Rhinolophus ferrumequinum: one gene and its partner. The protein of the gene in region 2 purifies or fractionates together with the protein of the main gene of each other region. This does not show direct contact. Links are inferred from orthologs where the notes say so. Each region holds a gene or a part of one and is shown on either strand. Other genes may lie near its edges.

The links.
Region 1: the proteins of NUP107 (region 2) and NUP43 purify together in Homo sapiens (affinity purification with mass spectrometry; 8 studies listed by BioGRID and IntAct, counting the BioPlex papers as one, with this or other methods). This does not show direct contact. The link is inferred for Rhinolophus ferrumequinum from reciprocal best matches to the Homo sapiens genes NUP107 and NUP43.

Annotation. Positions count from the first base shown.
Region 1 is NC_046286.1:93,109,553-93,120,355, reverse strand, and holds the start of NUP43 (nucleoporin Nup43), read left to right. Parts: upstream 1-5,476; 5' UTR 5,477-5,516; coding exon 5,517-5,636; intron 5,637-5,981; coding exon 5,982-6,104; intron 6,105-7,015; coding exon 7,016-7,093; intron 7,094-8,087; coding exon 8,088-8,268; intron 8,269-10,075; coding exon 10,076-10,211; intron 10,212-10,803. Other genes in the region: PCMT1 (protein-L-isoaspartate(D-aspartate) O-methyltransferase), read right to left, coding at 3,054-3,282. UniProt on the Homo sapiens protein: Component of the Nup107-160 subcomplex of the nuclear pore complex (NPC). The Nup107-160 subcomplex is required for the assembly of a functional NPC.
Region 2 is NC_046293.1:64,885,154-64,896,087, forward strand, and holds the start of NUP107 (nuclear pore complex protein Nup107), read left to right. Parts: upstream 1-5,884; 5' UTR 5,885-6,058; coding exon 6,059-6,066; intron 6,067-7,793; coding exon 7,794-7,885; intron 7,886-8,407; coding exon 8,408-8,494; intron 8,495-9,124; coding exon of another isoform or gene 9,125-9,149; coding exon 9,150-9,265; intron 9,266-10,934. UniProt on the Homo sapiens protein: Plays a role in the nuclear pore complex (NPC) assembly and/or maintenance. Required for the assembly of peripheral proteins into the NPC. May anchor NUP62 to the NPC. Involved in nephrogenesis.

The DNA of each region.
Region 1 (10,803 bases), on a different chromosome or scaffold from region 2:
ATACAGACATTACAGAGAACTCTATTGGGCAAGACTGCTATAGATTTTTCCCCAAAATTTTATTTAAAAGCATAAAACTGATTCAGCTGAAACACTGGCAGAGTTTAACCTTAAAATTTTCAATTCTCTATGCTAGTGATTCTCAAAATGTGGTCCCTGGACCAGCAGCAGCATTATTTAGGAACTTACTAGAAATACAGTTGACCCATCAACAACATGGGGGTTAGGGGCACTAACAACACTCCCACACAGTCGAAAACCCAGGTATAGCTAATGACTCCAAATATTTAACTACAGTTGTCCCTTGGTATCCACGGGGGATTAATTCCAGAAACCCATTCAGATACCAAAATCCATGGATCCTCTGCTTAAGTCCCATATATAAAATGGCAAAGAACAATGCATTCAGTCAGCATGCCGCATCCGCGGATTCCCAACCGCTGATTAAAAATACTGTTTTCAACCACGGGTTGGTTGAATCTGCTGAAGACCAATCAGGGATACAAAGGGCTGCCTGTATATTTATTGAAAAAAATCCATTTATAAATTGACCCATGATGTTCAAACCCGTGTTGTTCAAGGGTCTACTGTACAAATTCTTGGGAGCCTCAGCAATCTGTCTTAATCAGTTTCAACCAGCTCTCCAGGTGATCAAATATGCTCCACTTTTAGACCACTGTTTTAAGTTATTAAAGAGCAGTTGTCATCACAACATAAGCTATGAGATATTAGGAGATGTACCATTATAGTCTAAAATAATCTATAAACGGTATATCAACTACGAAATCATACATAATCATGCTTCTATTGTGATTTATAAAAGAAATCTACAGTAGATATTTTCAACAATTACAATATTAAAATGAAACCAATTATGAACTTCATTTCTTTAAAAAAAAATTAAAACCATAATTTGCTTCCTCTTCAGGTTTGCAGATCCTTTTTTCTTCAACATCAACATCATCACATTTTAATCTTTTTCTAAAGACTCAATTAGAAGCCTTCAGGAAAGCTTCCAGTGGAACCACCAGGAAAAAGAGCAATTTTCAAATTTTGTGCCAATTGAAATGTTTACATGAGCAAATATTACTTTTATAATAAACTAATAAATAAAAATGACACCTATTAGCTGGAATGAATTTAACAAGAAGTTGAAACTAAAGTTACAAAAGGGTTACAAAAGACGCTAAACAATATGAGTACTCTAATTTCCTCTTACCATAGATCTACTATAAAACTAAATATCTACAATATCAACATGCACATTAAATATTTCTTATCAGATTCGCTGATAGAACAACATCCTTAGGAGTTTCAGCTAAGAATAGTAATGCAATACGTTAAAGTGGGAAAAGATCTAGTCTTGGCTTACTATAAATTTGGCCCCAAAAGGAGAGACTTTAAGAGCCTGATTGATTACAAGCTTCTGCCACAGCCAAGTGTCTACTAAGATAACCTACCGGTGGAAAATTACCTAATCACAATTCGAGTGTAGAATGTTTCAGGTGTATATACTGCAACAGCAGACACTAGATCATTGTAAGAAATTTTATAAAAGTACTTACAACGTATTGAGCTTATGTGCAATCCATGGGGAACCTAAATGGCACCTAATAATGCTGTCTCAGCATATAAATGCCCATTTCCAATCAAATATCCTTCAATAAAGTGAATACTGGCAATGCTTGACAGAATTTTAAAATCTAAATATTCTTCATTACTAAACACTAAGGCCATGATTTCCAAGTATCAAATACTGTTTTAAAAAACGTCAAATGACTAATATTAAGTACTAACCATGCGCCAGATAGTGCTATTTCTCTAACTCATCGGAATATTCCTAGCACAGATCCAAGCATATAACGTACATTTAATTGGCATTTACGGAAAAAAAAAGGAATGAGTATTAATTTCTTTGAGAGGATTCACAGGTAATTTTTAAAAGTCCCAGAGGTTACCAATTGGATTAGGAAATATGACAGACACATGAAAAGCTAAATAACCTATGACAATTAAAAATATCACGTGGCAAGGTATGCTTATTTGCAGTTAGTGGCAAAGAGAGTGCTATAAATTCTGACCAGAGTATTATGGGCTGCAATCCTGGTTTCCCCACCACACCGCGACACTACACTTCGATTTAAAAAAAGAAAGTGACACAGCACTCATCCCGCCCTAAAATTATCATCAGAGGAAGGAATACAATAACTCAAGAGAAGGATATAAAGAAACTTCCACGCAAGGCTTTTAACGCATATGGCAGTCCTGAAAAAAGTTAGATTAGACACACACACACACACACACACACACACACACACACACACACACACATACTCGTTCGTTGGATTCCAGGACCTCTAAAGGCTCCTTAAACACAAGTCTCTCAGGAACAGCATCCCGATTATTTCTTCCTCCGCCCCCCACGAAGCTTTCCACTGGACAGCCGCCCCAGAAATTTCTCCCAGCATCCGCAACGACAATACTCTCATCTTCCTCTCCCTCCCCTCGCCTGTATCAGACGGTGGCATCTCCCTCCAGAGGAAAAAACGGAGGGCGGGGGAGGCAGAATAGGAGAGAGCGCTCGCAGCGAGGTCGATCACGAAGACGACGGAGGTGAGAAGACGCGGGGGGCCAGGGTGGACCCCTCAGTTCCAGACCAGACTCTAGGAGGCCTAGCCAACATCTCCCCACCCCGAGTGCACGCCCCTCGCCCGCCGGACCCGGACGTCCAGGAGAAGGACTCGAGTGACAGCCCCACCACCTGTGCCGCGCCCTCTCCTCCCAGGTCTCTGGGGAGACGCCTGCCCCTGCCCCACCAGCAGCGGCCGCGGGCTCTTTCTCTCCCCTTCCAGTCCACGTAGCCAATGAGTGACAGGTCCCGGGGGACGCGATCGCAAGCGCATGCCGTTCGGGACTGCTGGTGCAACCCTGGGCCGAAGCCCTCCAGCAGACACGGGGGAGGAGGGGCGAGAGAACGCTCCGGACAGCCCGGGGGACTCTGTCCAGGCCTGGCCTGCCCCAGTTGCCCCACACCCAGCGGGGGTGGCACTTACTGCAGAGATTGTGGATTAGCTCCGAGTGGCTGGCGCCGCCGGATTTCCAGGCCATCGCTAAGCACACCCGGAGCAGGTACAGAACCACCTTCAGCGCGGCGACGGTGCCCAGCAGCTTCCCCAAGAGTGAGACCACCTCCCACACGGTCACCGGCCCGCTGGCGTCCCCGCTGTTGCCGCCGCTGTGACTGCCGTCGCCGCCGCTGCCGCCACTGCGCGCTCCCGGCATCCCCCGCGGCACGCATGCGCTCTGTGACGCCTGGCGGCCTCGGGTGCGGCTGGGTGGGGCCGGAGGCGGGGGTGGCCCCGAGTCCAGCCGCCCCCGTTGGTGGCTGCTGCGGCTGCCGGAGACCGGCGGAGAGGCCAGGCAGAGTTAGCGCCGCCGCCGCCGCCGCCCCCGCCGCTCCGTGCCCCCTTATGAGGCCTCGGGCTGCAAACCGCCTCCTTGTTCGGTTCGCCCTGCGGCCAGGCGGCGTGGGCCCGGCTGCGGTGGGTCGCGTGCCCGGCTGAGGCTCTGGTCGCCGAGCGCGGTTGCAGGATAGCGGTGCCTTTCTGTGACGTCGCGTCTGGACGATCTGGTTCCGCCGCTGCCGGTAGCTCCGCAGTCTCCGTTGGGTCAGCTGTTGCGAGCGGCGGGTCTGCTCCTATAGCTGCCCAGATTATTAGACGGTGGGCTTCCTCCGTCCTGCCTCACCCAACCCTGTTGACTAATATTTAGGTCGGTTAGAGTCAGAGCTTTCTGGTGCAGCCTGAATAATATTAATAGCACCAGAGAGCAAAGGCCCTCTCTAACCCGAGTTCGGCAGCCTCTGGCTTTATGACAACTACATCGGTGTTCGGTTAGAGAGACTTCGCAGCCCCTGGTTTGTTCTCAATTCTAAAGTACAAATTCAGAGAGTAGAAGAATAACATGACATGTGGGGGCGAGGAATGCTTTACTCACCAGAACAATGCAATTGGTTAAAAATACCACAGTATTCTATCTATATCCAATGTATTACTCTAACACAAGTGTGAGCTTTCAGCAAATTAAACCTCGCAAATGGTACCGTTAAACTGGACATCAGTACTATTGCTGTCATCTCTGCAAGACTGAGCAGCTGAAAGGGAGCATTGCTTGTCGCATTCAACTTGCTGACTCCTAATCAGAACTGATACTGACAGAATCCAATCATCCAGTCCAATAAAATTTTAAGGAAGAAAAAGTTATGTCAAAACATTATGCGCCAGCAGCAATTTTCAAATTCTAGTTCTTTCCAGATGTCAAATGTGATACTCAGCCTACTTCCAATACAAAAAATATGTTACGTATTTTCTGGAATTCTGTGACCATAAATGAAACCACACTCAAAACCGTGTTCTTTACTTCAATAGTAGGAATAAAACTGTCAGTGTGGGATTAAGTTTTCCATTTCATCTCTCTGCAGTTTCCTATTGTAGTCCATTTAAAAAAAGCCTCAATCCTCAATAAGACCTGATAACTCTCTAAAGCTGACAACCAACACATCATTATGAATACAGTATAAAGGAGATTTTTAGAAAGATGAATAAGTCACACCTCTTATGTATGCAATAGGATTTACATTCTAATTGGGGAGATCAGCATCAAAATAAAACTAGCAACAGAGGACAAAACTTAAGTGCTATTAGTGGCCAAAATTAGGGGTCTAAAGTGCTATGTTTATTTAAGATCACGGGCTGGAATAATCAGGAAAAGATAACAGGAAGGAACTGGTCCTTGAAAGATGGGTAGGATCCCAAGAAGTAAAGAAGACTATACGGGTATTATTACAGGTGTAACCAAGAGCACTGGAAGAACCTACAGCACTGATTCCTGGGCTGTCGATGTTACATATCAAACTTAATTGTTAATACATATATAAGTCAATTGAAGAAGGTTGGGCAATGGTCATGAAAACTAGAACTGGAGTCTTCAGCATTCCAACTCCAGGCTTTGCAAGTGTGCGTTAAGAACTTTGAAGCAAAGAATTTGTTTGGGAGACAGAGGGAGAGGTTTAGAATAATAAGTTGGTGTGTTAATGGCGTGCACTTCCATGAGAATTTAAGGATTTGAATAATCTATGCACAGTGAAATGCAAAGCTGAATGTTTAGGTGCGGCTACTTGGTGGTTTCTCTTAAATTTGTTTTAACATTGCACAGTTATTGGATGAATGCATTGTGTCAGTGTTCCTAAACTGATTTTGAAGATTAGGAGCAGGTCCCACAGTACCAGGACCAGCACACTTGTTGCCTCTGTTAAAAAACGCGTGGGTAAGGAAGAGCGTCAAAGCTTCCTTCTGCTTGGGAGCTGGTGGTCCCCTCATTGCCGACCGCAGAGAATTGGCTCTCCGCAGCCACCGTCCGTCCCGTAAGGTCCAGTCCAATCAGAGCTCCGCGGGAGGGGGCGGGACTAAGAGGCGCGCGCTGTGCTTTTTGCTGTCTCCGCCGCGGTTAATTTCGGCATGGAGGAGTTTTATGCTAAGTACGTGTCTCAGAAAATCAGCAAAACCCGCTGGCGACCGGTACCTCCGGGAAGTCTGCAGACCGCGGAGATCTTCGCTACGGGCTCTTGGGACAATGAGGTATCTCCGTTCCCGGGCCAGGAAGCCCCTGTCTCCTCCCCCTCTTTGTTCCCCGCCCGGGAAGCCCCTGCGACCCCCCGGCCGCCTGCGCGCGAATTCTCTTGCCTTCTACATCCTCTCACTTTTCTCCATCCCCCGAGTCCCTGTCGCGGGCTCGGTTGACCTGTACCCCAGCCATCGATGGTATGTGCCTTAGCCTCGAATCTCGTGTTTTAAACTATCACCACACTGTCACCACTATTCTGAGATGCTTTCAAAGCAAGGTTGCCTGTAGGCAATACAAATGTTAATTTCCGAAAGTTTAACGTAATATTTCATCTCAAGGTAAAACTTGCTGCTTTACAGGAAAATTATGTTTCACTGTGGTCTATTGGAGATTTTGGGAACTTGGACTCTGATGGAGGGTTTGAAGGAGACCATCAGTTACTGTGCGGTACCAGACACCATGGTGATGTTATGGATTTACAAGTAAGTAACATCTTTTTTGGATGTATAATATCCAAAAGCTAACTTTTAAAAAACACTCATACATTTAGAGATGTAAAGGACCTTACATTTTCCTGGGTCTACAGGAAACTGAGTTCTCTATAGGTTATGATTTTTGAACATCATATAGCCACTTAATGTTAGAATCAGGAGTGGGGAAGGCGATGTGGGTTTAACCCTAGTTTTTGAATCCTAGGGTTTTTTTGTTTGTTTGTTTTTTGTGTTTTTTTTGTTTTTTTTTTTTTTAGTTGACCATCTACTGTATGCCAAGCACTATTTGGGGAGCTTCACATAATTCTCATTGCATGCTTGTGAATCAAGTATTGTTATCTCTGTTTTATCAATGAGAAAACTGAGATTAAGATCTTTTGAGCAAGTGCTGTGTGACAAATACTGTTCGAGTTACTTTACATGTGTTTTGCTCTTTGAATTCTCACAACTCCCTAAGTAGGGATTAGTTCTCTCCTTTTAAAGGTTTACCTAGACTTAAAACAATTTAACTTGGCCAAAGTCTCAAAGCCAATAGTAAGTGGTGGGACTGAAATTAAGTTTTCAAATCCTGGTATGTGTGACTTCAGAGTCACTGTGTTTTCTTCAATAGTAACTTGCCTCACCTTACTTTTCTAAACCTTTATGATAGTGGTCCAGAATTAACTAAATCAGTTTTAGGGGAATGAGTTTAGGGAAAAAAATTGTTATTTTTTTTCCTTCACAAAAATACTTATATTGGTATTGGAATTTTTACTTTCAGGTCTGTCATCACATTTTATTTGCTTAGCATTTATAGGCTCTTTGCATTTTAAAACTATTATTACTACTAATTAAGTTAAACAAATGGGCTTCCACTTTACTGGTATTTCTCAATCCATAACAAGCATGAATTTTCTGTTTAGTTTTTTGACCAGGAAAGAATGGTAGCTGCTTCATCAACAGGATGTGTAACAGTTTTCCTTTACCGTCCAAATAACCAGGTAAAGAAATTTTGTTTGAAAACTTAATTAATTTGTATTTTCATTATTTTTAGGAAGGCTTTAAAAAGACTGTTTTTAATAATGACACAAATAATAAAATTATATAGTCTCAAAATATGGAGGGGAAAAACATCGTTATATTACCCAACTTTTAGTAGACTAATTTTAGAACCGTGTTTGTGTGTGCTTGTATTGAATTTGGTTATCTCTTAAATTCTGTTAGTCTAGAGTCTAGACTTAACAATCTAGTATTCTGGCAAGGAATTTTCCTGTAATTCTGTTTTAAGTTCCCATTTTGGTCTTTGAAGAAAGAGCACCTTTTAGTTAAGGTATCATGAGAGAAAACAGGAACAGCTACTTTGCTTCTGTGGATAGAACCTGGGTTTTAATTAGAAGAGAGGATACTCTGTGTGAAGACTTGACATTTTTTCAGTGCCTTTCCTGTGTGCTGAAGCCTAAGAGTACTGACCTTCAGAGCATAGTGTTGAGGGCATTCCTTTAAAATAGGTAGTCCCACTTGTAATAGTTTTAAGTTGCTAGAAGAGAGTGCTTATTTAGACTTTGGAATTAATAAAGGTCACGTTGCTAATAGGCATGTCTAGAAAATATAAGACCCGGGTCTTATTAAGTATTAATGGAATCCTTTAGAAAGCATTATAGAGATTTATTTCTTAGATGTAGGCTAATTCCCTTAAGAATTTAAAGTTGCTTTTGAACACACAACTACCTGATACCTCAAAACCGTTTCTTTAGTTTGAGATAAGATTGGCCTATTATTGAACAATGGTCTTTTGAATCTAATCCAGTGTATACAGAGCTTTGATGGAAGTAGTTTCTAGGCTTTAATACTTGGAAATAAAAAGGAAAAAGGAGAGAGTTGTCCTTTTGCTAGAAGGGTATGAGACGGAATTTTAAAATACTCTTTAGTTGGGAAAAAGTGCTATGTTTTTAGAGCTTTGCTTTGATTAATCATATTGTCATTTCTGACACCTAGACACTGTCCGTCAGCCAGCAGTGGACAGCAGCTCACCACCACACCGGTCTGGGCAGTCCTTCCTGCAGCAGTGCGCCATGTACGGGGGTTGTGTGCAGCAATCCAGACATTGTCACCGTCGGAGAAGATGGTCGAATCAATCTCTTCAGAGTTGATCACAAGGAAGCTGTGAGAACTATAGGTAAGAAAAATCATTATATTTTTTTCTAGCATCACCTAGGAATCAATCACCTACCACGTGCTAAGTGGATACAATGTTAAGTGGTTGAGGCATATAGAAATGTGCAAAGCAGGATCCCTTTATCAAGACACTGTGGTGATAAGGCATATATGACTGAGTGACTACAGAGGAAAGAGAAACTTTTTATTTGGCTGGAGTGGGTGATTGGATAAAGAATTGAGGGGCAGGTGGCAATTCATCTAGGTTCTAGACCATAAATAACTAAAATACGGCACCCCAGACAAAAGAGATAATGTGGAAACAAGAGAAGGCCATTTAGAGAATGACAAAACATATAGTTGGACCTGACTTTATTTATATAGGAGAGGTGAGAGATGAAGCAAGACAGGTAAATTGGGGCCAGGTTGTGAAGAATCTAATGCACAGCTATGGAGGCTACATTTTGTTACTGTGTTTCCCTGAAAATAAGACCTAGCCAGACAATCAGCTCTAATGCGTCTTTTGGAGCAAAAATTAATATAAGACCCGGTAGGTGGGCAACCAAGGAACCGTTGAGTTTTTGAGTAAGGGGTTGATATACTCCCTGTTGTGCTTTAGAAGGATTATTCTAGTATAGTAGTTCTCAACTATGCTTCACAAAGACTTCCCTGAGAAGATTTTTCACAGCCCACTATCCTAGACCTGAATCAACCTGCATGGATTGAGTCCATGAATCCATTTTTGGTGTTGTTTATTATGATTGTAAGTTCTGAGGAACACCACTTGTGTAACACCATTGCCTGGTGACAGTTTGGAGAAGTGTCACAAAACAAAAGTCTGTAAGTATATGCTAAATTATGTGATACAAGCTTAAACCTGTTGGAAGAAGAAAAGGACCATTATAGCAATCGGGAAGGACTTCAATGGAGGAGAGAGTTGCAAAAGATAAAGATGAATCAATTTGATATGAGTCAGCAGAATAATACAGGATCAGAATGAGCTCTGGAGGAAGTACTGGGGTTTGGCCCAATAGAATGGAGGTTCTGGGTTAAGCACTAGTCAGAATTAAACTGGTTACAGAAGAGCTTAAGCAGCTGTCTCAGAAATGCAGAATAACAATCTTAAGTGGAGATGGGGAAATACATAAGTGAAAATTAAGCCCTCTGTGGAAAACAGTTCAGGTATCTTGTGAGTGGTATCATTTTTCTATCAAAGGAGATTTAATTTTAACATACACATTACTGTACGTTTTTTATAAAAATTAAACTGTGACATATTTAAAATTTCACTTATAATATTTCAATTAAAAAAGAATTGATTTAAGGAGGTTGGTCCGGTGGCTTAGGCAGTTGGAGCTCTGTGCTCCTAACGCCGAAGGCTGCCGGTTCGATTCCCACATGGGCCAGTGGGCTCTCAACCACAAGGTTGCCAGTTTGACTCCTCAACTCCTGCAAGGGATGGTGGGCAGCGCCCCCTACAACTAAGATTGAACACGGCACCTTGAGCTGAGCTGCCGCTGAGCTCCCAGATGGCTCAGATGGTTGGAGCACGTCCTCTCAACCACAAGGTTGCCGGTTTCGATTCCCTCAAGGGATGGTAGCCTGTGCCTCCTGCAACTAACAACGGCAACTGGACCTGGAGCTGAGCTGCACCCTCCACAACTATAATTATAAGGACAACAACTAGACATGGAAAAAGCCCTGGAAATACACACTGTTCCCCAATAAAGTCCTGTTCCCCTTCCCCAATAAAATCTTTAAAAAGAATTGATTTAAGATTTTCATGGAAAAGGGGGACCCATTAACACTGCTATTTTCTTAATTTGTAGACAATGCAGATAGCAGTACACTCCATGCTGTAACCTTCCTTCGAACTCCTGAGATTCTTACAGTAAATTCAATTGGGCAGTTAAAAATATGGGATTTCAGACAACAAGGAAATGAGCCGTCTCAGATATTATCACTGTAAGTTTTGGTTTTTAATTTCCATAGTGTAATGCAAAATTAATTTGTTCGATTATTTATAGCAGTTGACTTTAACTATATTTTAATTGTATTTTAAGAGAATGCAACCTTGAATAAATTTGATAAAGCAACTATAATTTAATGGATTTGATACTACCAAACTACATTTAGTAAATATTTGCTCCCTTGAGTCAGAACTTTTACTCTTTGAAGTTTATATTATTGTTGTTCATCAAATGATTCTATTAATAGTGGGTATATACACTCCAGATGTGATGGGGATAAAAATACAATCCAAGATCTTTTTTTCTGAACAGAAATCCCCTTTCTCTGTGTGCCACCTATTCTCTGACAAGAAAATAGAATGTGTTTCAAACTGAAAAAGGTGTTACATAAACTAAACGCTAAGTAAGGTAGGAGTAAAGATATGCTGTTTAGTTAATATATAATGCTTTTTAAAAGCCAAGAAATGGAAATGCGTTTTGCATATCTTACCATCAGATCATCTTGCTCCCTATGCCTCAAAAATGAAGAGAGAATGAATAACTTTGGCCCTAACCACCTCCCGCGCAGATTCTAATATTAGAAGTAT
Region 2 (10,934 bases):
AAGAGCACCAGGCTGGAACCAACTAAGCTAACCGGCCGCCCCCTAGGTTAGCACACCTTTGAAACAAGTGGTAACCACCCTCAAGAGAGTGCATAATCTTCATTATCCTGTAATCCAATCCCTACCTTGTTTTCTTCTATCTCCACGTAATCCTCCTTAAATTCCGTCCTTAGTTTCAAATGCATAAAAGAAGCTGAAAAACTTCTCTGGACCATTTGAGATCTTGCTCCCTGGCATTTGTTGTCAGTTTGGCTCAAATAAACTCTTAACAAAAGTCCTCTACACGTTTGGATATTTCTTACATCAACATCTGAAAAGACAATGTGCTCAATCAATGGCTTCCCACTATTATCACCACAACCACGTTCTTCCCTTGAAGCACATCAGCTTCCCATTCAGTCCCTCCATTATCTTTTTTCTTGTATCTGAAGTCTGTATAACACATCCAATCTTCCAGGGCACATACAGTTTACACTAATTTTTTTTCCTCCCCTGGTTCATGAAGTTCTTGAAATTTAACATTATTTTTCTATCTTTTTTGCTGCCTAATCTGTCTAGATCAAACTCATATCTTGCAGACTCCCCCTAATATACATTCAAAGCTCTGTTTTGCTTCACATCACTGATGTTTAATTACTTGGCAAGATCACTGCTACTTATGCATAAAATGTTTGTCAGAATTTTATTCTGATTGAGATCTGATACATCCTGAGCAGGAAGCCAAATTGAATAAAAAAAATCATTTATGGCTTATTTTGGAATATATATATGTCATATTTATGATTAAAACATATATACATGGTTTTATAAAATATATATAATTATACATATAAAACACAAATGACTGAAATATATATAGTCATATGACTAAAATATTGCCTTGTACAACAATGTAAATGTTTTTAATGCCACTGAACTGCATACTTAAAAATGGTTAAAATGGTAAATTTTGTTGTGTATATATGACTGCAATTTTTAAAAATAAATAAATAAAAGAGCTGGTTGACATAAAGGGGGGAAAAAGAATAATACATTGGCAACCAAAGACTGATATCAATTCACAAGATGTAACAGTTCTACCTCACAATAGATTTTAAGTAAGAATATCTTAAAGGCCAAATTTTATTTGGTAACTACAATAGTGATTTAACGTATTTATGTATTCCATGTTATGAACAATTAAGTATGTTTGAATAGGTAAGTTTACATGATTTTTTTTTTTTAATTGGGGAATGTTGGGGAACAGTGTGTTTTTCCAGGGCCCAACAGCTCCAAGTCAAGTCGTTGTCATTTAATCTTCAATCTAGTTGTGGAGGGCGCAGCTCAGCTCCAAGTCCAGTTGCTGTTTTCAATCTTTAGTTGCAGGGGGCGCAGCCCACCAACCCATGCGGGAATCGAACCGGCAACCTTATTGTTAAGAGCTCGCACTCTAACCAACTGCTCCATCTGGCCGCCCCTACATGATTTTTTTATAAGTGAATTAATTTCCTTTCCCCCCAATATATAGCTCCCACTTCCATGCACAGTGCCTCATACATAGTTGAAACTTAATAAATATTTGTGAATGGAGGAGTAAAATATACTTCAAGATTATTTCCACTGAACCTCTTTAAATGGAAAACAAAAGGAGACTTTGCAATCATATTTATATTCATCAATATAAAGTATTAATTATTTCGAGCTCTTCATATAGGCAGGAAAAAATGCTTGTGCTATTATTGCAGCATCACAGAAAAAAAGGATTGAAATTGGATCAATTCGATCTGTTACTAATGCCTCTATCACTATGTCACAAGTTTGATGTTGTCAAATGAATTGATAATTATTATAAATACAAATTAGATCATTTTTGAACACATGTATAATATGCCTAGTACTATTCTAAGGCTTTACACATAGTAACTCATTAAATCCTCATAACAACCTTATGATCTAGTACTATTGTTACACCCAAGAAGAAACTAAGGCACACACTTGCACCCAAGGTCACGTACGTAGTTCGTTAAGTGGTGGAACTAGGATGTGACCTCCGGCAATCAAGCTCTGGAGTCTGAGCTATTGACCACTTTGCTCTATTGTTATTTTTATATTTCGTCCTCATAGCTATCCTAAGAGAATATTCTCATTTACAGAGGTGAGGTTTATAACAGTCAAATAGCTTATAAACTGCAGAACTGAGATTCAAACCTGGCAAGCCTGATTTCCAAGACTGTGCTCTTAACCTCCAGGCAATATTGTTTCCTGAGCCAAGCCATGTTTTAAAACCTGCGTATTGTGGTTCATTCATGGTTCAGCCAAAAACTGATATTTCTGTTCAATTCATGATTCATTGTTATTTACTATACTTTTGGCTTGTGGTTCAATTTAGTTCAAATCTATGACCTGAAGTAAATTACTAATCTTTCTGTAATTCTACTTCTTTAGATAAAAATAATATTAAATTACAATAGCTTGTTTGCAATGTTTTGAGCTCAAAAAACAAAACTGCAACAACAACAAAAAACAACAACAAAAACAACAACAAAAAACACCATCTCATAGCTGAACAAGCTGTTAAACTCTAAGTACTTCCTTTTGTTTTATATAACTGCGGTGTATCCTACAACTGTATTAGAATCCTTCTAATTGTCTTTTGGACATGACAAAAACTGTTTAAGCACCTTCCATAATTTAATTCACTAGACTCATATCTGACTCATTGGAATTCTTAATGAATTCCTTAAGACATTTGTTTGAATTTCAATTGGGCCATGCTATGAAAATAAATTGTCTTAAATAAAACACCTCACAGTGAACTGGACAATAAAAACAAAATCATCCAGTCTCACCAAAGACAACCACTATCAACATTTGGTATGATCTTTGTACAAATATATTTTTAAAAAGACTTGTGTTTTTTTTTTTTTTAGAGCACTTTTAGGTTCACAGTAAAATTGAGAAGGTTTAGAGATGTCCCATATACCCCCTCTCCGCACACATACACAGCCTCTGCCATTATCAACATCTCCCACCAGAGTGGGACATTCGTTATAAGAGATGACTTACATTTACATACCATAATCACTCAAAGTCCATGGTTTACAAAACGCTTCGCTCTTGGTGTTGCACATTCTATGGGTATGAACATATATGGCATGTGTTCACCGTTATAGCATCATACGGAGTATTTTTACTGCCCTATCTGCCTATTCATCCCTTCATCATCCTCACTCCACCCCCTGCTTCAGTATGTCTTACGCATTTTATATTGTTTCTGAGCATACTGATATATATGACAACTTGCTCCCTTCATTTAAAGCAAACACTTCCAAGTTACTAAAACTCTCTCTAAACATCCTTGTAATGACTGCATAGCAGGCAATGAGGTGGGCATTGGTTTATCCCTTTTTTCTTCCAGTCTGTAGGAGTGGAGAATATATGCCAAATGGCCACAGAATGTTGGGAATTATAGTTGAAAATGGGTAGAATATAGAATTTGAGGTAGAGCCATTGCCAGATAGGCAAATCTCCCGAAGGCTGAGTCATTTACATTTACAATGCAACCAAAACAAGTTTGGCTGGGAAGGGAACAGAGAAAAGGCAACAGTTAGAAAGGAGTGCCAGGTGAAAGGATGCTTTCTTTTCAGAGAGGAGAGAGGTCAGGCAGATTTTGAAACTGAGACAAACTGACCCCATATGCCATCTGATGTGATTAAGTAAGTACTCAACAATACCTATGTAGTACGGGGGAGCCAAAAAATGTATACATGTGACTTGTATTCAGCTTTTGATATCAGTATATATTGAGTATTATAATTTTAATCCAGTGTTTTCTTAAAATGTATATACTGTACATTGTTTCGGCACCCTCTGTATTCCTGCACCTGTCCCTCCAAATAGTTTTTTAAAATGCTTACTGGGAGAAAACATCCAAATTGAGGAATATTTTGCAAAAATTGGTTTGAACTCTTGGGGAAAAAAAAAGTGGGGACTATGCTAAACTAAAGTAGAACAAAAAGACATGACAACTAAATATATAATGCTCTACTGGATCCTGTATTGGAGCAGAGCTGTTATAAAGAGCATTATTAAGAGAATTGGGGAAATTTGAATATGTTAATTGTGATATTTTGTCAATGTGAACAGTTCTGAGTGTTTATTTTATTGTGTTAGGTAGGAGAATGTCTTGTCCTTGATTTAGGAGATGCATTCTGAAGTACTTAGGGGTGACGTGTCTAGATGTCTTCCAAATGGTTCAGGCAAAAAACAAAAGAGAGAGAGAAAACACTTATTGGGAGATGTTAGCAATTAGTCAAGAGTATATTAATACCTATTTTACTATTTTTACAGCTTTTCTGTGGGTTTGACATTTTTTCAAAATAAAGGGTCAGGGAGGCGGGGAAAGCAATGATGTTTGATTTCCTCAGCTGTTGGTGGTGAGGGAGAGGAAACAGTGGTTTGAGTATTTGGGGATGGCTGCTTCCTGGCCTTTAGTTCCTGAGCAGCTGTTCTTTGCCAAGCTTTCCTCCAGCTTCTGTGAGCTCCTGATAGGTTTCTAGTAAAATCCCTTTTGCTTAAGTTAACTATAGTGAGTTTCTCTCATTGAAACCGAGAACCCTAAAAATAAAGCTAGAATGTATGCAATATGCACCATACAAGTTTGTGCCACGCATTTTAAAAGAAATCAAATGAATGAATATATTTTGAAATATTTTAGGGTTGTATGGTGTTCATGCCCACTAATTGAGTGTGTCAAAAATGAAGACCAGTGCACTTTTCAACAAGTGTTCCCTTATGGCATATGAACTGAACATTCTGTTAATCCTTTGCCCAAAACTGCTCTTCCGCTTTATTGTGTGCCTTATGGTCAATCACTTCAAGTCCATTACATGAAAAAAAAAAAAAAACACAACACATTGGAATTCAATTGCCAGGAAACATATGGCAAGAACCTGAACCACTGGCTCACTTAGAATAAACTTGCCCTGGCACTGACAAAAATCATTAGGATCACATTTCATTTTCCATAAAAGAACAAGTCCACTTTTATACAAGAAAATTAGGAGATGGGAAGAATGAGAGAGCACCACTGCGGGTCTCGTCAAGTAAGATTATTGAACGAGGAGAAAATTAACACTTCGGTGACTACTATGTGCAGTGTACATTTGACATCTTGATTTTACTCCTCAAAAGAACTCGGTGATAAAGGCGTTATTTCCATTCCACAGATGAGGAATCTGCGGTGGCAGGGAGTTCGAACCTAATGGAGACCAAAGCCACGTGTTTTTAAAAAACGTCATGTTGTCTCAGCAGGAATAAAGTATGACGTTTCCCAGGATTAGAGCAGACTGTAAATGCCTACGGCAAAACATCGACTAATTCCTTCAGGGCCAGGATGTACTACTTTTTGTCTATATGGCACTTTGAAATAGAGGATAATACCATCACCTTTCCTGCTTTTTAAGACAGGTGATCCTGTTTTCCTTACTAGGGAAACATACCGAGTAAAGAATAGGCATATGGAAAACAATTTCAAAACCTGTAGGGGGTTTACAGTACAATTCAGTGAGTACTGTGAGAGAGAGGGACGAACCCCCGAGGTGTAGGGCAGAGTCTAAACGTCTGAAACCCAAATCCAGGCTCTTTGTCACAGGACATGACTTCACATTTTTTTCTAAACTATCAGTATACGTCAAATTTCCCAGTAAATAGTCCCAGGATAACCCGGCGCCTGGACCACGCCCACAAATGCCAGTCAGGCAAAGTGGCGGCCGCGCATCAAGGCTAAACCCGGCCCGGCCCCGCCCCCTGCCCGGTCCCGCCCCCGGCCCCGCCCCGCCCTACGCCACAAGCTGGCACGCCGTCGCGCCTGCGCAGACCGGACATGCGCTTGGAGGAAGTTGCGCCGGCGCTCCTTGGGAAAGTTGTTTCTTCCCCGACGACACTTCTTTTCTCCACGGCAACTGAACGAGGACTGTTTCCGGGTCGAAGGGTTTGCTTCCGGAGAGCGGGAAGGCTGAAACGCGGTGGCTAAACTGGATCCCAATTTACAAGGTTCCCGGTGGAGAAGGCTGTAGCCATGAACAGGTCAGTTCAGGTGGTGACTGCTGAGCTTGGAAACTTGTCCCTCCTGCTTGTTGGCGGAACGAAACAAGTGGAACTCGACTTCCAGAGGAAGCCAGGGAAGGCCCGGGTGCTGACTCGAGGACTTTCCCGGGCTGGGAGATTCTGCAGCTGATGGAAGAAAGGCCGCCAGGTTGGGAGAGGGATACGGATAATGATAATCCCTTGCGTTCCTACGGAGCTCTGTCATTGTTCTGCCATTTCGCGGAACATTTTTCGCTTCTGGGGTGGGCGGGGTAGGAGGTGGCCCGGCATTCGAGATGCTAGAGTGACCTGCTCGAGATCCCAAAGCCAGTCAGTGAGGCAACTGGGAATCTCATCCCAGACTTGCTGATTACAAGTTCCAGCGATCAGATAGTTACTGAGTTGAGTTCTTCCTAGGACCCTGGTACTGCGCTGGCCGCCTGCGACACAGATGCCTTATTCAAGGTTCTTGGCCTCGGGGTAGTCGCTGTGTAGTGGAGGAGACGATCAGGCAGTTTTCTACTGCCCTGTGGGAAAGGAAATGAAACAATTAAGTCTCCCTGTTACGGGAGGTATCAGGAAAACCTCTCAAAGGAGGTAATTTTCTAGTTGGTCTTTGAATAATAATAGCTAACATTGAGTACCTTAAGCACTTTGTATCGTTAGCTAATCTTCGTAACAATCCTGTGAGGATAGGTACTCTTTTCATAGATAACACTGGGGTTAAAAGAGGTTAAGAAGCTTGGTCAAAGTTGGGAAACTATTAATAATAAATAGAACCAAGTTGCCAGCCTGTAGGGAAGCTTTTCAGTGAGTAAGTGTTCACCAGGTGGACCAAGGGGGCAAATGTCCGCCTCTAAAAGAAGCAACGTGTACAGAGATGTAAGGATATGCCAAGTGCATGCTTTGTGTAGCTGAATGGTCAAATGTATGTTTGTATGGTATGGTGATGTTTGTAGCTGAATATAAGCGTGAACCGGTAAGCTGAGGTCAGATTGTACAAACCATGGTAGGAAATTTGGACTTGATTCTGTAGGCCAGAGGTAGCTACCTATCTGAAGGTTTTAAGTGGAGAAGCATATTAGATTTTTCTTTTAAAATACAGGTCTCTTAATTCACACAATTTATTTTATAGCCCTTGGGCTGAGAATGACAGGAGATCTGAAGCATTGTGACTACAAAGTGCTGAGACAGGAGACATCCTTAGTGTATCCTAGAGAGAAATAACTTGAAATATTATTTTCTCCAGTTTACTAGAATTCTTTTTTTACTTAGCCTCCCATCTCACCAGTTAAATAAAGCAATAAATTTCTTCATAGTTTCCATGGTTTGAAGTATTTTGGAAACCACAGAAAATCCTTTTTAAGAGATATAATCCAGTAATTTTAGGGAACTCCTCAATCCAACTGAGGAAAAATTTACCTTCATGAAGCAATTATCTAAAACAGTAATATAGATTCCAAGTGTTGAAATAATTGCAAAGGAGAAAATAACAGTGAGTGCTAGAAAGTCTTAAAGAAGTCTGTGCAGGTAAAATTTAAGCAGGACTTTGAGGGATAAGTAGGATTTGGAGCCAGAGGGCACTGTCAACAAAAAAAGCAAAGACATGGCTACTGGAATGATCTGTACCTTGACTGACTTGGGTCCTTTGCTCCAGTCCTGATGATGGAGTTCTTTGCAAGTGCTACATTCTCGTTTCATTCACGTGGGCTTGATTATGCTTTTAGGAGTGGCTTTGGAGAGATGTTATCCCCTGTGATCCGGGAGGCAGAGGTGACACGGACTGCACGGAAACAGAGTGCTCAAAAAAGAGTTTTAAGTATCCTTTGCATTTTAAGCATCATTATAAAAATTGCAGAGTGTTTGGGATCAGGATTATAGAATTTTCTTTTTATGAGAGACATTAAACACTAGCTATAATAATAAAATGCTGCAGAAATTATTTTTTTGACTCCCCAGATAATGTTATTTGGTAAATACAATGCTGAAATTCAGTGAGATTAGATTTATATTTTCCTGAAAATAAGGGTGCTCGATTTTACTGCTATTATATTGTAGTTAGCTTTTGTGGAGGTTAGATAGCCTTTTTAAATTTGAAATCTGACTAGGAACTCTTAGTGTAATGTGTAGTAATCTTAAGACATATCTGAGAAAGTAAGTGATGTAATTATTTACTCTTTGCATAGGAAAAAATGGTAGCCATAAAATACCTTGTCCTTTAAAAATGTATCACATATTTTGTATAGTGTAAATGTGGGTAATTCTAACTTTAATGGTGTCTTTTTTTTTTTTTTTTTTGGATGTCTTTTCTACATGGAAAACTTTTCTTAACTTCCAATAGTTCGGGCATCCCAAGATGAAATTTTTGCTAATACTACACCAAGAAACCAGGTTCTCCCTCGAACTCCCAGCTCATTTCGACCGCCTTGTAAGATTTTTTTAAAGCATGTAGTAATAATAATAATAATAATAGTAATAATAGCAGCTAACACTTATACACATAATAAATATATTTGGTTGAAACATTAGTAATTAAGAATAAATAATAATGATTGCATTTACTATTTGTTGAACTCTTACCATGTGTAAGGCACTAATTTACATACACAATAACTGGGACATAGGTATTATCTCTATTTTGCCAAAACTGAAAGTGAAACTAAGAAGTTAATTAATGCTGATAACATAACTAAGTATGTAAGTAATAGAACCAAAATTTAAATAATGATCTGCTTACTTCAAAACTCGTGCCCTCTATTCTATACTGCCTCTTCAGTGTGCTATTTTATAAAATTAAAATACGAAGAATCTATTGACTCATTAGTGTCCTTTTTTACTGCTCAGTTATGTTATAATGAAAGCATATCTATTTGTAGTAAAATTTTTCCTGATGGGCTCAGTAGTACCAAAATAAGTTAAATTTTCATATCATGGAAATGTTAATATTTAACATGTTTATTTGATTAGAATCTAAATAATTGACAACTGAAAATTATTTGTTCTTCATATTGTTTGTTTGTTCTGTTTTCATGATCAATGCTCATGCACTCTGGATGAGTTTTTTACTAACCTTTTATTTGTAGTTACTCCACCAAACCGAAGCTTACTCAGGCAGCCAGATATTTCCAGCATTCTTGGAACAGGAGTGAGGTCTCCCCGGTTTACACAGTCTTCACTGTTCTTGGGAAATCTGTCTATGGTATGTAGAAAAATGGGGCTGAAATTTTCTCCCTTTTTGTGAAAGTGTCCTATGACACTCTTTAAGAATCACTGTGGTACGGTATTTAAAATAGCAGAAGAAATGTCACATAAACTGTGATGTAGAATGATTTGACTTAGGTGTTTAAATACTCTATAGAAAAAAAAAGAATTGGATCTCACTGAAAAGAAGAAAAAAGAAGAGTTTTATTGGAATAGTAGAGTATTATGGCACATTTAGTTCCAAAAACAATATAAAAATGATTTTTCGGTATTTGGCTTTGTGCTTATTAAAAAGGCATAGAAGTTTTACATGCACTTGAAATTGTCTAAATTAGATGTTTTCTGAAGAGTGGTTTTGCATGTTAAGCCTCTCTTTATCTTAGAAGGTTAACTCAATCTTTAATATATTATTATATTGTGGATTTTTAGAGTGTTAATATCTAATAATGATCTAGTCATTGAACAATTTTACTCTACTTATGAAACTGGTTTGTTTTGGCAAGGTTTATCTTGTACTTAAAAATATGAGTGAATTGACTGCCCCTGGGTTTAAGCAAGAGATGATTTTTATTGTTTACTGCTTCAGAATTGCAAGATTAATAGTAAAGTTGTTACTCTCTTAAAGGATGAAATAGTATGTATTAATTATTATAAAACATTTGGAAATTACTTTGTAGTCCAAGGTATATTTTTGATTTGTTTTGCTAATTTTAATATTAGTTGTAAGTGGTGGTCTTGGATATTTAGGTTTCCCTGAAGGAATAAAATTACCTGTGACATTAATTTTGCCATATGTCCATCTACTAAGATTTGATTGTGGAGCAAAGTATTTTTCTGAATGCAAAATGCCATTGCTGTGTAAGATTTTTCAGTTTTATTCTTATATTAATGATAATGATAAATACCCAGAAGGGAGTGAACTATTAATCAATCTAAGAGCTGAAGCTAAGTTCTCCCCAGCCCACAGTTACTTCCTCATGAATATATAGGGTACTAGCACCCATGTTTAGCATTTTTTTCTTGGAGAGACTGATTTAAAGGTACATTTTTGTTGTTACTCATACCTGAATTTTAAAGGTGAATTTTAAAAAGCTTTTTATTAAAAATAGAAGAACAGAATAAGCCCCCATGTGCTCATTACACAGTTTCAACAGTTACCAACATACATGGCTGACCTTGTTTCATCTGAACCCACAGCATTTCCCCTATATTACTTTACAACTCCCAGACTTCATAACCATTTTATCCAGAAATACTTATGGACCTCTGAGACATAAGGACAGTTTCTGTAACGTAAGCACAATACAGACATGTCTCATTTTATTGTGCTTCGCAGATAATGCCTTGTTTTTTTTTTTCACAAATTGATGGCAAGACTCTCCACCAGCAAAAAAAATGTTTTTGTTTGTTGATTCAAATCAGGAACCAAGTAAGATCAACACATTGTATTTACTTGATATGTCTCTTAAGTCTTTTAATCCCTAAGTTTCTTCCTCATCATCTGTTTTTTTGTTTTGTTTTGGTTTTTTAAGGAGGGGGCAGCTCACAGTGGCCCATGCGGGGATCGAACTGGCAACTTTGGTGTTACCAGCACCACGCTCGAAATAACTGAGCTAACCGGCCACCCCGTCATCTTTTTTTTTTTTTTAATTTTATTGGGGAATATT